3 linked regions of the Cricetulus griseus genome follow. The protein of the gene in region 3 interacts with the protein of the main gene of each other region in a pairwise test. Links are inferred from orthologs where the notes say so. Each region holds a gene or a part of one and is shown on either strand. Other genes may lie near its edges.

Region 1 (4,287 bases), on a different chromosome or scaffold from region 3:
ATTATGGTTAACATTTTAAAATTCCCATGCCTCATTTTTATTTCATTCTTATATTCTGACTAATTTCAATATTTATTACCATCTTCTCTGATGGTCTTATAATTTTTTATCATGAAAACCTTTGTCAAAAGTATTTTGCGTCTAAAGTATAAAAAGAACCAGATAAGAAAAATGAGACAGTGGCTACAATCAGAGGCACATCCATTTTATGATTACAACAGAGAAATTGTGAATGCTATCACAGGAATTATGAGATTCATGATTTAAAAGTCTTTTAAAAAGAGTCCAATACACAAAGCAGTCATTTTTATTAGATGCTAATCACTGACATCAGTGCAGGGGCAGAGAAATTGTCCACAGAATTCACACACAATCCATACACTTAGAATTTAACATTAAGCTTTCAGTTCTGCATTTATTTCGTTACTTCAAACATATATATTATGGGGTTTATTTGTTTCCAATTTCTTTCAAATACATCTTTGTATACATATACATATACGCATATATATCATTCTTAAATATATATTTCCAAATATAAATAATTTCACATCAAGCCAAACAGGATAAAAACATGTAAACATATGCACCTTATTTTGGTCAAGTAAAACAGAACCACAAAGTAACCACAAGTTAACAATTGCACTTGAAAGAGAAGGGAAGAAACAGACATGTAAACAAACACAGACAGCAGCTGCAAGGCCCTGTAAGGTTGCATTTTTAAGGCTATATAGCAAAAAGCTCATAATTTAAAGACTTTTGTCACCTTGTCACATTTACTCTTAAGGGACTTCACAATGAGAAACTGTAAACACTAGACTAGAAGTGATTGAATCCTGTTGGAAAAAGACACCACAAGTCATCAGCTGACAGAAATATTAATTCCACCAAACAATACTTTTAAGATTTCTTCTTATCTTGTAACACAGAGAAACATCACAATCCTAGTGAGAAGAAATGGGAAATAGAAGCGAAAACAGCAGTACTGCATAAAGATTGCCACAACAGCCTTTGAAAGCAATAGGGTTGTCAGTCAATAGAGGGAAGTAAGCAACAGCAGACAACAGAGCCTTAGCAGACTAGACCACATGCGATAGCATGATACTACAGATTCAAATTGAAATACTCTTCCAGCTGGAACTGAAGCAAGAGCCACCGGTCATCAGAGAAGGAAAAACTGCCTCTCAGGCAAAGCAACTTCTTAAGCAACTGATTGCCCAGGCGAAGCACAGCAAGCTCCTTCTTACGGCTTTTGAACAGCACTTTTCCCTCTCGCAACTGCACAGGCTCCAAAACTTGATGCCAGTATGCGTTTGACGATCCGCCACCACCTGGCCTCGGAGGCTGATCTCTCCAGCCCTCAGGGTATTCATGCTTGTAAAAACAGTACTCTCCAAATGGGCAGTGACCTAGGCCTCCAGCAAAATACCTGCAGGCTTTCTGGCTCATCCCCTCCTTATATTGCTGCACAAGTTTCTCCTTCTCCTCTTCCTCCTCCACCCAGAACTCACTAGGAATGACAAAGCCAGAGGAGACCCTGCACTGTGGGCAGGACTTACTGATCCTGTTCTCAAACTGTGTGGCACTTCTCCACCTGCGGATACACTTAAGACAGTAGGTGTGGTTGCAGCTGAAAAGGATGCCAAAGCGGCGGTCGCTGGGGTCGGCTTTCTCATAGACAACCTCCATGCAGATGCCACACACTTTGTCCATGCTGCGCTGCACAGCAAAGGAGAGCTCCATATCTCTCTCATGGGCTTCAACGCAGGCCCTTCTATGAGCTTCCTGCTGGGCCGCATCCCAAGGGTGCAAGGCCTGCTGCCCACACATGTCGCATATTTCTCCATGGGGGTATGCACAACTCGCCCCGCGGAGGCACTCTCCCCGGGCAGCATAGCGGCAAAGCGGCAGCGGCGCCCCCATGCCCATAGCCATGTGCTCTCTCTCAACTTCCGGGCTCGCCAGGGGAGCCTCGGGACCATGCGGGGGGATCATGCGACCTCGGTAGGGCTGTCCAGGAACAAACTCAATTGCCCCCTCCCAGCCTTCAGCACCCGCTCCTCCCGCAGCAGCTGCGGCTAGGCCTGCATTGTCAATCTCTGCTGCAGAGAAGCCCCTTTCACCAGCTGAGCCAATGCCTGCATTGTCAATCTCAGCTTCGGGGAAGCCCCTTTCAGCAGCCGAGCCAATCAGAGGCAAAGAGCTGGAGGATGCAGTAGGGGGGGCTTCCGCCTCTTCCTGAGTCGGGGGCTCCCTGTGAGTGGCCATCTTGGGCCCTCTATCTGCAGAGGCCCGAGGCTGAGAATCTTGCCCCCCCCTAGCTCTCCGCCGCCCAGAGAGGTCGTGAGAGTAGCGACAGTGATCGCCCTCCTTGCACTGCCCATGCAGATAATACCTGCAGAGGATCTGCTTTGTCCAGCTGCCGCTGTGGTGGTCGGAACCAGACCTGGCTCCGCCCCCTGCGGGCGGAACGGGCCCCAAGCTCGCCGAGCGTCGGTTCTCCGGCCTAGGAGCCACAAGGCGCTGTGCCTGGCCCGATGCCTCTGGCGGAGAGGCCGAAATGAGTACCTCGGAAGCTCCAGAAGCCTCCAACTCGGGAGGGGGGGGGGCGGACACACCCGCCCCCCCCACAGCACCTTCCTCGGCACCTGGGGCTGCACCAGAGGGAGCTGTAGACTCTTCCATTGTTATGCGCCCCTGACAGTGTCCAAAAACTGTCTAATATTATATCTTTTTTGTGCTTGAATCGGCGGAGCTGGAGCTGGACCGATCGGCTGATTCTCGGAGGGAAGTGCACCAATTTTTGTCTTCCCACCAGAAACCCGCCCCCTGTGAACTTTGGTTCCTACCCGCAGAGCGGCAGACGGACACTTCCGGTGGGGACACCAATTGCCGGTGTGAAAGCGGAAGTTACTTCAGCCATGTTTTTCTCCCGCCGCTATCGGCTTAGGGACCCGCGGTCCGCGGTCGGCCGCTCCCAGCGGGATTCGGGAGCCCCTAGCCCGGGTTTCCACACCGCCCCCCCCCCCCCGCAGGATTCGGTTGCACACACCGCATTTCATTATTTTCTCTTTGTGTGAGGAAACGCCATTGTCGCCGCCTGTGCCGCGACTGCTCTTGGAGGTTTTTATGGCGTTTCACTCGCACACGTTACAAATCATTTCCCTGTCTAATCGTCTTTTGTCTATGGGCGGCTGAGTTTTAAAATCCGGGAGTGTCTCTGCCGCGGCTTTTGTGCTCCGGCGGGTGTAGAGACGGCAGCACTTCTCCGGGGCTGTGTGCCCCTGAAGGGTTAATTCAGTGCGCTTGAATCCCAAGGGGACCCTTTGTGTGACTGGAGCTATTTAGCGCCTTTCAGACCCCTGCCTTTGTTACTGTAATCCGCCCAGCAAAGTAGAAGCCTGGGCTTCTGCCAGCATTGATGATGGCTTAATAAAACTCCGAGGGGGACACAGGTTTTCACTTTTCTCCGCTGGCTGGATTCAGGCAGACCCTTTGTTTGCCGCCTTACTTTGCATCCTGCACTAGGCTTTCAAAATACCAGCCTAACATGTCTCATTTCCATTGCCACACTGAGTTATTAGTTTGGGTGGGTTTTTTTTTTTTTTTCCTAATGTTACGCATCTATTCTATTGGGCTAATAATTCTTATATGTATTTCTAAAACGCTAAGTGTACTTCCCCATGGTCACACAATGACTTTTTAAATGTAGTTTATGCTGGCTTTTAATTAATAATCACGCTTTTTTCCCTTCCCCTACGTACGTGATTATTTGAATTCGCAATGTTCAAATATTTAATTTACTCTCCTTCCTTATCTAAAAATAGGATTTTGCTTCCCAAAACAATTTTATTAGAGGGAATCTTATAGCCTAAATTTAAAGAAACTCTTAATGTCTACGATATAGTCATCCAAGTCAAAGTGTAAGTCGCATCTAAACAAAGCCAACAAAACAATACTAAACAAGTAAGAATATTATCAAACAATAGAAGTAAGAAAACCAGGGAAATGAAGAAAAATAAATATGAAATAGGGAGAATAGAATGACCAAAATGATTAATGTGTAACTTATTAAGAAAACTAAAAAGGCACAGATCACCAATACCACATTTTTAAAAGAGCTGACACTAATAAGACTTAAAGCCATGAAATATTTTTAGTACCAACAGTATATAGCAAAACTTAGAATTATCAGATGGCATTAGATAAAATATTTGCACATGAAACTTGCAACTTTTCATTAAATGGTTACTAATGGAAACATCCATTAGTAAAAATACCAGAAAA
Region 2 (3,974 bases), on a different chromosome or scaffold from region 3:
AAAGTGAAGATGATGGGGGTTGCCTCACCTATACTCAAATCAACAATAATCAACCAACCACAGACATAAAACTCATAATAGGGGCAGGGGGACCACAGGGGTTTGCTTTTGTGTTGTGATGTACGTATGCATGTAGGAGAGGGCACGGTGCGTGTGTGAAGAACGTGGCATTATACGTGTTGTCTGTAGGCTATGTGTATGCATGTGTGGTGCTGTGAAGGTATGTGAGTATGTTATAGCAAGGTGTGTGTGCTGTGTGTGATGTAATATAGGTGAGTGAGTTCAGGTGAGTTAGGGTATATTGTGTTATGTGTTTACACCAACTTCAGAGTTCCTAAGCCAGTAGCTGCTCTTTTTTAAATATTTTATTTATTTATTATGTATACAGTGTTCTAGAGGGCACCAGATCTTATAGATAGTTGTGAGCCACCATGTGGTTGCTGGGAATTGTGAACTCAGGACCACTGGAAGAGCAGCCAGTGCTCTTAACCTCTGAGCCATCTCTCCAGCTCCTAGGTGCTCTTTATATAAGCAAGGATACTACTTAGAGAAAAGTTCATTCATGAAATTACTGATAACAAAAATTAGTTACAGTCGGGCTGGAGAGATGGCTCAGTGGTTAAGGGCACTGGCTGCTCTTGAAGAGGGCCTGGTTCCTTTTCCAGAACCCACATGACCACTCACAAGCATTTGTAACTCCAATTCCAGGGGCTCTGATGCCTTCCTCTAGAGTCCACAAGCTCCTTCGTATATATGGTTCCACAAGCATACACACAGACATAAAATAAATGAAAATTTAAATTACAGTCCAAATCATCAGAACTAAAGAAACAAGAGTGCATTTCACAGGAAATAATGGATTTTTCCATTGGACAGTGGGCACAGCTTTGTGGCAGGTCTTCCTGTAAATTCTAAATCACCTAGAACAGGGCCTGACAGCTGCTCTGTAATGGACCAGGTAGTTAGTATCTGCCAGGGGCTTTGGGTCATGCTAAGTGCTCAGGGATTGGTTGGTTTTCTGCTCAGGGGCAGGACAGATCTGGTTTTGGTTTCAGGGCCCAAGTGTGTTTCTTTCACTGGTCCTTTTTAGCCTTTTGGCTCTAATTTTAGGGCCAGGATGTATTTCTTTCACTGGCTCTGATTATAGGGACAAAGCACGTTTCTTTGGCACTGGTTTCAGGGTCAGGGTGTGTTTCTTTGGTTCTAGTTGCCAGGCCAAAGTGTGTTTCTTTTTGGCTCTGCTCAGGCTGTGTTTCATCAGCTGGCCCCTTTTCCCTCATATGTTTTCTTTATAAGACTTGCCTTGGTCAGGTGTCTCTTCACAACAATAAAACAGTGACTAAGACAATGGGCTTATATTGGTCTATTTCTGAAGCTAAGGAGTAAATTCCTGCCTGGTGCTCATGGAAGAGTTTCATAAATAATTCCAGGATATAGGTGGAAGGACAGTGACCTGTGAGGTCTGATCTGTGGGGACATCAATAATCTCATTCTTCATGACAAGCCCCAGGCCTGTGTCATCCTGAATCCCTTGGAGCTGCTGAGTCTCCTTCACCTGCTATCTTCATGGAGGACTGGCCCTGTACCCAGACAGGAGCCCTGGAGAATACATTCTGTGCCTGTTTTCTGTGGCTCTCCCAGGGCCGCAGATGCCAGAGCAGTGGTTGAAACCTACTCTGATCCTGGTTCTAAATAAAGACCTTTGGAAACTAGATCCCAGTTTATCCTGAAAGGTCTGAATGGTTTATTCGGCTAACTTGTGATTCCTTTTCTCTACCCAACATAGCAAGAATAAAACATGGCTGGGTGGTGGTGGTGTATGCCTTTAAACCCAGGACCCAGAAACCAGAAGCAAGCAGATCTTCGAGTTAGAGGCCAGCCTGATCTACAGAGTGATTTTCATAACAGCCAAGGCTACATAGAGAAACCATGTCTCGAAAAACCAAAACCAAACAAAGCAATGAAAGAATAAAACGTGAAATTAAATGAAAAAAATCAGGAAGTTTTCACTGATGTATGCTAAAATTAGTCACTGAAAACACGGCTAGAAGCAGGACTTTACACAAGCAAGCACCTCCCCCGAAAGGTATTTATTATTTATAACGGGAAAATAGTAACCTAACTTTGCTTATTTAGTTACTTTTTTTGAGACAGGGTCTCTACTTAGCCATGGGTGTCCTGGAACTATGCAGACCAGACTGGCCTCGAACTCAGAGATCTGCCTGCCTCTGCCTCCCAAATGCTGGGATTAAAGGCGTGCCCAGAAGAAAACAGTAACTTTATGATAGCCATTTGATAGACACCACTGTCTCCTGGGAGGCACGAGGGCAGAATGCTAAATGTTAGTAACTCAATCTTATGTTAAATATCGGGCCAGCCGAGGATGAGATGCAGTCTACAAAATAACGGACTTATGAAGTCAGCGGGGCAGCGCGGCGCTGATCCAGGCTGCAGAGCAGGGGGAACACTGCGGCTAACGTGCTGATTCGGGGCACCCTGCACCCAGTGCCGCTGCCGGCCTCGCGATGGTCGCCCGAGGCTACTACTTCCTGAGGGAGGCGTCTGGGGAGCCTGGGTCAAAGCCCCACGGGAGCCGGAACCTGAAGCGATGGCCATGCCACTCACCCCGTGCTCCATCGGCAGGGCCCAGCGAAATCCTCGTCGCCTCCCGGCGCGCGACCAGGCACCGCGCCAGCCCGCTCTGGGGCCGCCGGGATTCCGAGCGCCAGCACTAGCTCGCCCGCTCGCCCGCCCTCCGGTCGCACCTCTAGCGCGGGCCACGTTACCATAGCGACTGGAGTCCGCGGCCTGGGTCCGGGTGCACTGTGAGCATCGCTCCGATCCCTCCGTGCAGAAACAGGAACCCCAACACAGAGTTCCGACCTCCGCGGGGTCCACACTGGCATTGAATAGGGTTTGCTGACCTGTGGGACTCCCTGAGTAGTGCAAAAGCCCGCACCTGTGGCGCTCTGTGTCCTCCCCCCAGGTGGCCTGAGGGTCCCCAGGGTGCCCATCTTGTAGCCCCAAAGGGCTAATTTCATCTGCGAGGAGGCGCCGGCAGGCGGACGGGCTGGGAGCTCAGGTGGAGAGCCTGCGAGTCGGGCGTGGGGAGTTGCTCCGTGGACGCAGATCTTTCCTGCATTGCGTTAGTGTAGCCTGCACTTGGGACTATGGCAAGGGTGCAGTGGACTGCACATGGCAAGGTTGGAGGGAGGTTGCACCGGGGGCCGATCACCAGGCGGGGAGGGGGGGCGCTAAGTGAAGGGATCGGTCGTACTTCGGAGCTCTGGGTGAGGGGCCACATTGAGTGCTCTCCAGGGTTTGCCCTGATACCTCAGGCATCAAAAGGTGAGCGTTTATGCAGGACCCAGGCTTTCATGGACTAAGTAGAGTTGAATGGAGTGAAGCAGGTTACTGGGAAGGGCCTGCATGAGCCCAACATCAGGCTTGCGTCTGTTGCAGGCGTGCCTCTGTTTCTGTCTTAGCTAGTCATTTAAATCCTCGGGTTATCTGAGGGCCAAGGAGATGGCTCAGTGGATGGGCGAGCCTGATGACCAGAGTTGCTCTCTGGGACCTACATAGTGGAAGAAGAAAACCAATTCCCTTGAGTTTTTCTCTGACTTCCATATGTTGTGGTGTGCATTCGCACCATCACACAAAATAAATAAATAAATAAATAAATAAATAGGTAAACTGTGTGGCCCAGCCCTGGGTCAGAAGCCAGCACTGACTCACACACCTCAGCCAGCACAGTTCCCAAGGGATGGGGAGTGTCTGGGAATCCCGTGCTCCAGGAGGGCAGCATCCAGTGGTCTAGCGTCATTCCTACTTTCCTGCCTTACATTCTGTAGTCTTCCTAACCCCATCAGTCTTTCCCTTGTACTCGCTGTTCCCACTTCCTGATAGCATGCTTGGTGCTTGATCTGAACCCTCCCCCAGACAGCTTGCCTTTGTCCTTCCGCTGCTATCTCCTC
Region 3 (4,529 bases):
GAGTGCTACTGTCAGCCAAACCAGGGAAGGCACGGGGGCTGGGGACAGTGGGCAGGGGCAGGGCTCACTGGGGGCAGAGACTGCACGATGTCACTGTGGTAGATGTAGCCGGTGTGCGGCAGCACTGAGGTAGAGGAGAAGCCCGACAGCGTCTTGCGCTGGGCTCCCAGCAGCATGATGTTGCAGGCAGGCATCTTGGAGAGATTGGTCAGGCCTCCGGCCACACCTGCAACAACAAAGAGGCGAGGTCGGAAGAACACAGGTTCACACCACACCTGGGGGCTCCCGTGGACCTTGGTGGTTTGAGTAAGAATGTCCTCCGATGGCTCGTGTATCTGAATGCTTAGTGACCGGGGAGCGAAACCTCTAATTAGATGAGAAGGGTTAGGAGGCGTGGCCTTGTTGGAAGAAGTGTGTCACGGGGGGGTGGGCTTCGAGGTTTCAAAAGAATGCCAGATCCAATCTCTCTTTATGTTTCCAGATCAGGATGTAGCCCTCGGCTGCTTCTGCAGCACCACACCTGCCTGCTGCCATGCTCCCTGCTACCAAGCCATGATGACCACGATAATAGCTTTTGCCTCTAAAAGTGTCAGCAAGCCCCAGGTTGGGTTGGTTAAGTGCTTTCTTCCAGAAGAGTTACCTTGACCATGGTGTCTCTTCACAGTGTAGAACGGTGACTAAGACAATTTTGCACCTTCATTCGTTTGCTGGTTTGAGACAGTATTCTGTAGCTCAGGACCTCAAATTCAAAGCAATCCTCCTGCCTCAGCCTTCTAAACACTGGGATTACTGGTCTAAGCCACTTCGTCTGGAAGGCTACAGGATCATTTATGTGTATGTGTGTGTATGGGGGCAGGTTACTGTAGGGAGACACCGTAACCACGCCCTTCAGGATGTGGTCAAGGTGATGTCAGGGTGGTTTTAAAGGGACAGACAAGGCACATGGGAGCTCTCTCGCCTTGCTGCTTTGGCACCCTCTGGCTTGCTGTTGGTTGGCGTTTATCTATTAAAAGTTATCCTAACCTTCTGGATTCAGTATCAGTTATTCACCGCTTTAGGTTATTTTTATATGTGTGTGTGCATGAAAGCAGAGGACACTTATGGGACTAGCTCTCTCCACCTTCGTGTGGGTTAAGAGGATCACACTCAGGCTGTCAGGCTTGGGTGGCAAGGACTTTTCCCTGCTGGGCCATCTTTCTGGCCCAGGTCATAGAATCTTTAAGGAGAGGGCAAAGATAAGATGAGGTCATACGGATCCCGATTCTATCTGACTGGCATCCTTGTGAGGAAGGGAGATGAGGCTGCAGATACAGCAGCATGGCTGCATGAAAATACAGAAGGCATGCCCGAGCCAAGCAGAGGCTGAGGGAGAAACCAACCCCAAAAGCACCTTGGTCTCAGACTTGTCAACTCTGAAACAGCACCCTCGGGAGTGTAAGTGTCCTGGCCTGTAGTCCTCAAGACCACAGCTAAGGGACCAAAGGTGGTGGCTTCCCCACATTCCCTTTGTGAGCGAGCATTCCCTGCAAGGAAGGACTCCGGCTACCGGAGCTTCTGGGAGGAGGAACTTAGCACATGACAGGATTGCTGCCCTATCCAGTAGGAAAGCCCGAGGGTCAGGAGCTGACTTTACTACTCTGTGGATGCCCCAGGGTCCAAAATGGACCCATTGGCGGGAGGAGGCTCCTTCTTCAGCCAGCTGTACTCAGAAGGGGCTGCTACACTTTTATCATTTGCTATGCCAAGCTGGCTGACTTCAGTCTCCAGATGACAGTGTAATAGAGCCCCTAATGTCAAGCCCCACTTCCCCAGGACAACCCCAGACCATGGGACCCAGCTGGGAACTCACCCATGATCTTGGCAGCTGTGGATGCCCCAATGATGATGGACAGGTTGGGTGCGATGAACGACATCCGGGACTCCACGTACTCGTAGATGCGGTGCTTGGAAGCATTCAGCTCCAGGGCCATGTCACAGGCCTCCTCCAGGCGCTCCAGCTCCTCATCCGACAGCTGCTGCCTGAGTTGGGAAGCAGGGAAGGGTTGGGGCCGGCGCCCAGTTCTGCTGCGCGCTTGTCTAACGGGTGTCCAGCCCCACCCATCCTCTCGGTTCTGTATGCGTGTGTGTCTGTGTAACTCTGGGGCTACCCCAACTTCTATCAGCCTAGGGACCACAGCTCTCAGCCAGCACCACCCTCACCATCAACCCCATTCTGCCCTTTCTGGTCTCTGCTGCCAGCTGGCCTATGGTAGGCTTGCAGCGCCTTACCGCGTGGTATACGTACCCCTGGGTGGTGGATGCGGTGACACTGACGACCATGATGGTAGCATTGGTCAGGATTTGCTGGAGGTTCTCATTGTTCTTGCACTTGTCCAGGCTGTTGCCCAGCTCCTGGGGTGGGAAGGGGAGAAAGAGAGAGACCGTAGTAACTCCCAGAAGATTCTAGAAGCTCTTTTGCTTCAACACGAACACAGGGCTCCCTTGAGGAACCCGGGAAAGCTAATACTGGAGACCTCTCTTGCCTCTTACAGGTTGACAACTTCACTGCTGAAAGCATCAGCACTGCCTGCTCTGCTGACCCAGAAGTGGAAGCTGGGCAAAGTGGCCTTCAAGGACGACACGCTGCACTAAAGAAGCCTGCGGGAGCTCACGACTAGAGACGGACTTCCTCGGCTCCCACCCTGACCTCCTGGACAGAGGCAGGACCCCTGCTCTTTCCCCTCTGCCTGCTCCTGTCATTGCTCCCAGGGGAGCCCAAACCTTCTGTGTGTGATGTGCTCTGACCTTTCTGACCTGTCAAGCTCCCCTCCCTGCCTCTTCTCACTTCCTCCTCATTTGTTCCCACTCAGGATCTCAGCTCTTATCTCGCTGCGGCCTCTGCCAGCCTTCAGAGGCTAGTTCAAAGGACACCTGACCCAATGACAGCCAGAGGCAAGGGCCAGGCCAATGGGGATCCTCCCACAAGCTAAGGGGAGGAGAGAAGCCAGAGGTGTGTGTGAGACACCCTGTCCGGCACCTGTCCCTTCCCACTGAGCCCCGGCTCACGCCTCTCCATCGTTTTCTAGATCCCGAGGCTTCACGCTGCTTCCGGGACCAGACTCCTCCCCACTCACCTTGACTGTGCGGATGTAATCCAGAGCGTTGGGAACCAAGGATTCTAGCTCCGGGAATCTCTTCGAGTACTTATCCCGGATGAACTTATGGATAATGTCTAAAGTGGACAGGGAGGGTGGGTGTCCGCTGAGGGAGGGGGAGGCAGACTCTGCTGCTATCCCCAACACCCACTTCCGCCTCTCTAGTGAACAAGCCCAAATCTTGGGTTGGTGCATGGATGCCAGCATGAAATCTACATTTCCTAGCTGTCCCCAGGGCTATGTGCAGGCATGAAGTCTGTTCTAATGTCTACAAGATGTGAACTCAATTGGCATTTTCCACATCCAGACCATGGCCTTAAGGAAGCAGCCATGCCCTGTCTTCCCTCCCCATTTGCTGGTAGGGACGTGAAATGAGGCAATCACCCTGGAGCATGAAACCAGTGGCAGAGTCTGGTGGCTGAAGGGGTCAAAGGGTGACTCTAGACCTGCTCTGTTTACTTAGACTTTCAGGAAGGAGAATACACTTTCTCTTCATGTAAATCAGTCTGTTACAGAAGGTAAACCTGGTCAGGGCAGTAGTCGAAGAAAGGCAAACAGAAGAGGTCCAGGTTCATGCCTATTCTTCCCTTTGCGTCATAAAGAGGGAAGGGCACACAACAGGGCTGTCCCCATCACTCACTCAGCTCGTTTTCTATCTCCACGGTCAGGTTGTTGGCATCCACAATGACTCGGTACTCGGGGGCTGCCTCCACTGGTCCCATCACTAGGAAGGGGAAGAAGGAATGTGGATGAGAGAGGGCACCCACCCGTCTGTAAGTCACAGAGCTAGGGAAGACTGGAGCTGAAGCTGGCTGGATCAGAAAGGAGGGGCTGAAGCATGCACTAGGGACTTGGAAACCTCCCCAGCATCCTCATTCCTGCCTCTCCTCTCTCTCCTGCAGGCCTCCTCTGGGCTAATCTAGTCTTGACCTCATCCTGCTTTAAAACTAAACCCTCCTGTGGCTCTCCAAAGCCCCGAGGCTAACGAGCAAGCTCCTCAGACTGGCACTCAAGGTCTCCCATCTAGATGGAGGCCCCACAAGGAAGAGTACCGGGCCCATGTCCCCACATCTGCAACCTTGGTGCATACAGCACAGGACTCACTCCAGGGCGAGCCACTGACTCATCGGCTCCACACAGCCTTCCTGCCTCATCTTCTCAGACACTGGGCACTCAAGGCTATTCCATTCCTCCAGGCCTTCATGAGCACTGTTCCCTCCCCCTGGAATGTTCCTTCCTTGAGTTCTCTTTCTAGAAACCTTAATGTATGCCTGATTATATTGGCATTGAATAACATGTGCATCCAATAGCTCTTTAAGTCATTAAAACTCAGAGGGCAGTGAAGACACTTCCCTCCCCTTTTAGAAGGATGAGATGTCTTCTCTCCATGCCATG

What was found.
Region 1: the proteins of Prpf31 (region 3) and Mkrn3 interact in binary tests that used the Homo sapiens proteins (3 or more experiments, as listed by UniProt). The two-hybrid records come from large-scale screens. The link is inferred for Cricetulus griseus from reciprocal best matches to the Homo sapiens genes PRPF31 and MKRN3.
Region 2: the proteins of Prpf31 (region 3) and Ccdc57 interact in binary tests that used the Homo sapiens proteins (3 or more experiments, as listed by UniProt). The two-hybrid records come from large-scale screens. The link is inferred for Cricetulus griseus from reciprocal best matches to the Homo sapiens genes PRPF31 and CCDC57.

Annotation. Positions count from the first base shown.
Region 1 is NC_048596.1:135,056,081-135,060,367, reverse strand, and holds Mkrn3 (probable E3 ubiquitin-protein ligase makorin-3), read right to left. Parts: upstream 2,801-4,287; 5' UTR 2,686-2,800; coding exon 1,105-2,685; 3' UTR 185-1,104; downstream 1-184. UniProt on the Homo sapiens protein: E3 ubiquitin ligase catalyzing the covalent attachment of ubiquitin moieties onto substrate proteins.
Region 2 is NC_048600.1:133,406,168-133,410,141, forward strand, and holds the start of Ccdc57 (coiled-coil domain-containing protein 57), read right to left. Parts: upstream 2,801-3,974; 5' UTR 2,626-2,800; intron 1-2,625. UniProt on the Homo sapiens protein: Pleiotropic regulator of centriole duplication, mitosis, and ciliogenesis. Critical interface between centrosome and microtubule-mediated cellular processes. Centriole duplication protein required for recruitment of CEP63, CEP152, and PLK4 to the centrosome.
Region 3 is NC_048602.1:21,549,187-21,553,715, reverse strand, and holds part of Prpf31 (U4/U6 small nuclear ribonucleoprotein Prp31), read right to left. Parts: intron 3,859-4,529; coding exon 3,775-3,858; intron 3,212-3,774; coding exon 3,114-3,211; intron 2,392-3,113; coding exon 2,285-2,391; intron 2,020-2,284; coding exon 1,850-2,019; intron 227-1,849; coding exon 69-226; intron 1-68. UniProt on the Homo sapiens protein: Involved in pre-mRNA splicing as component of the spliceosome. Required for the assembly of the U4/U5/U6 tri-snRNP complex, one of the building blocks of the spliceosome.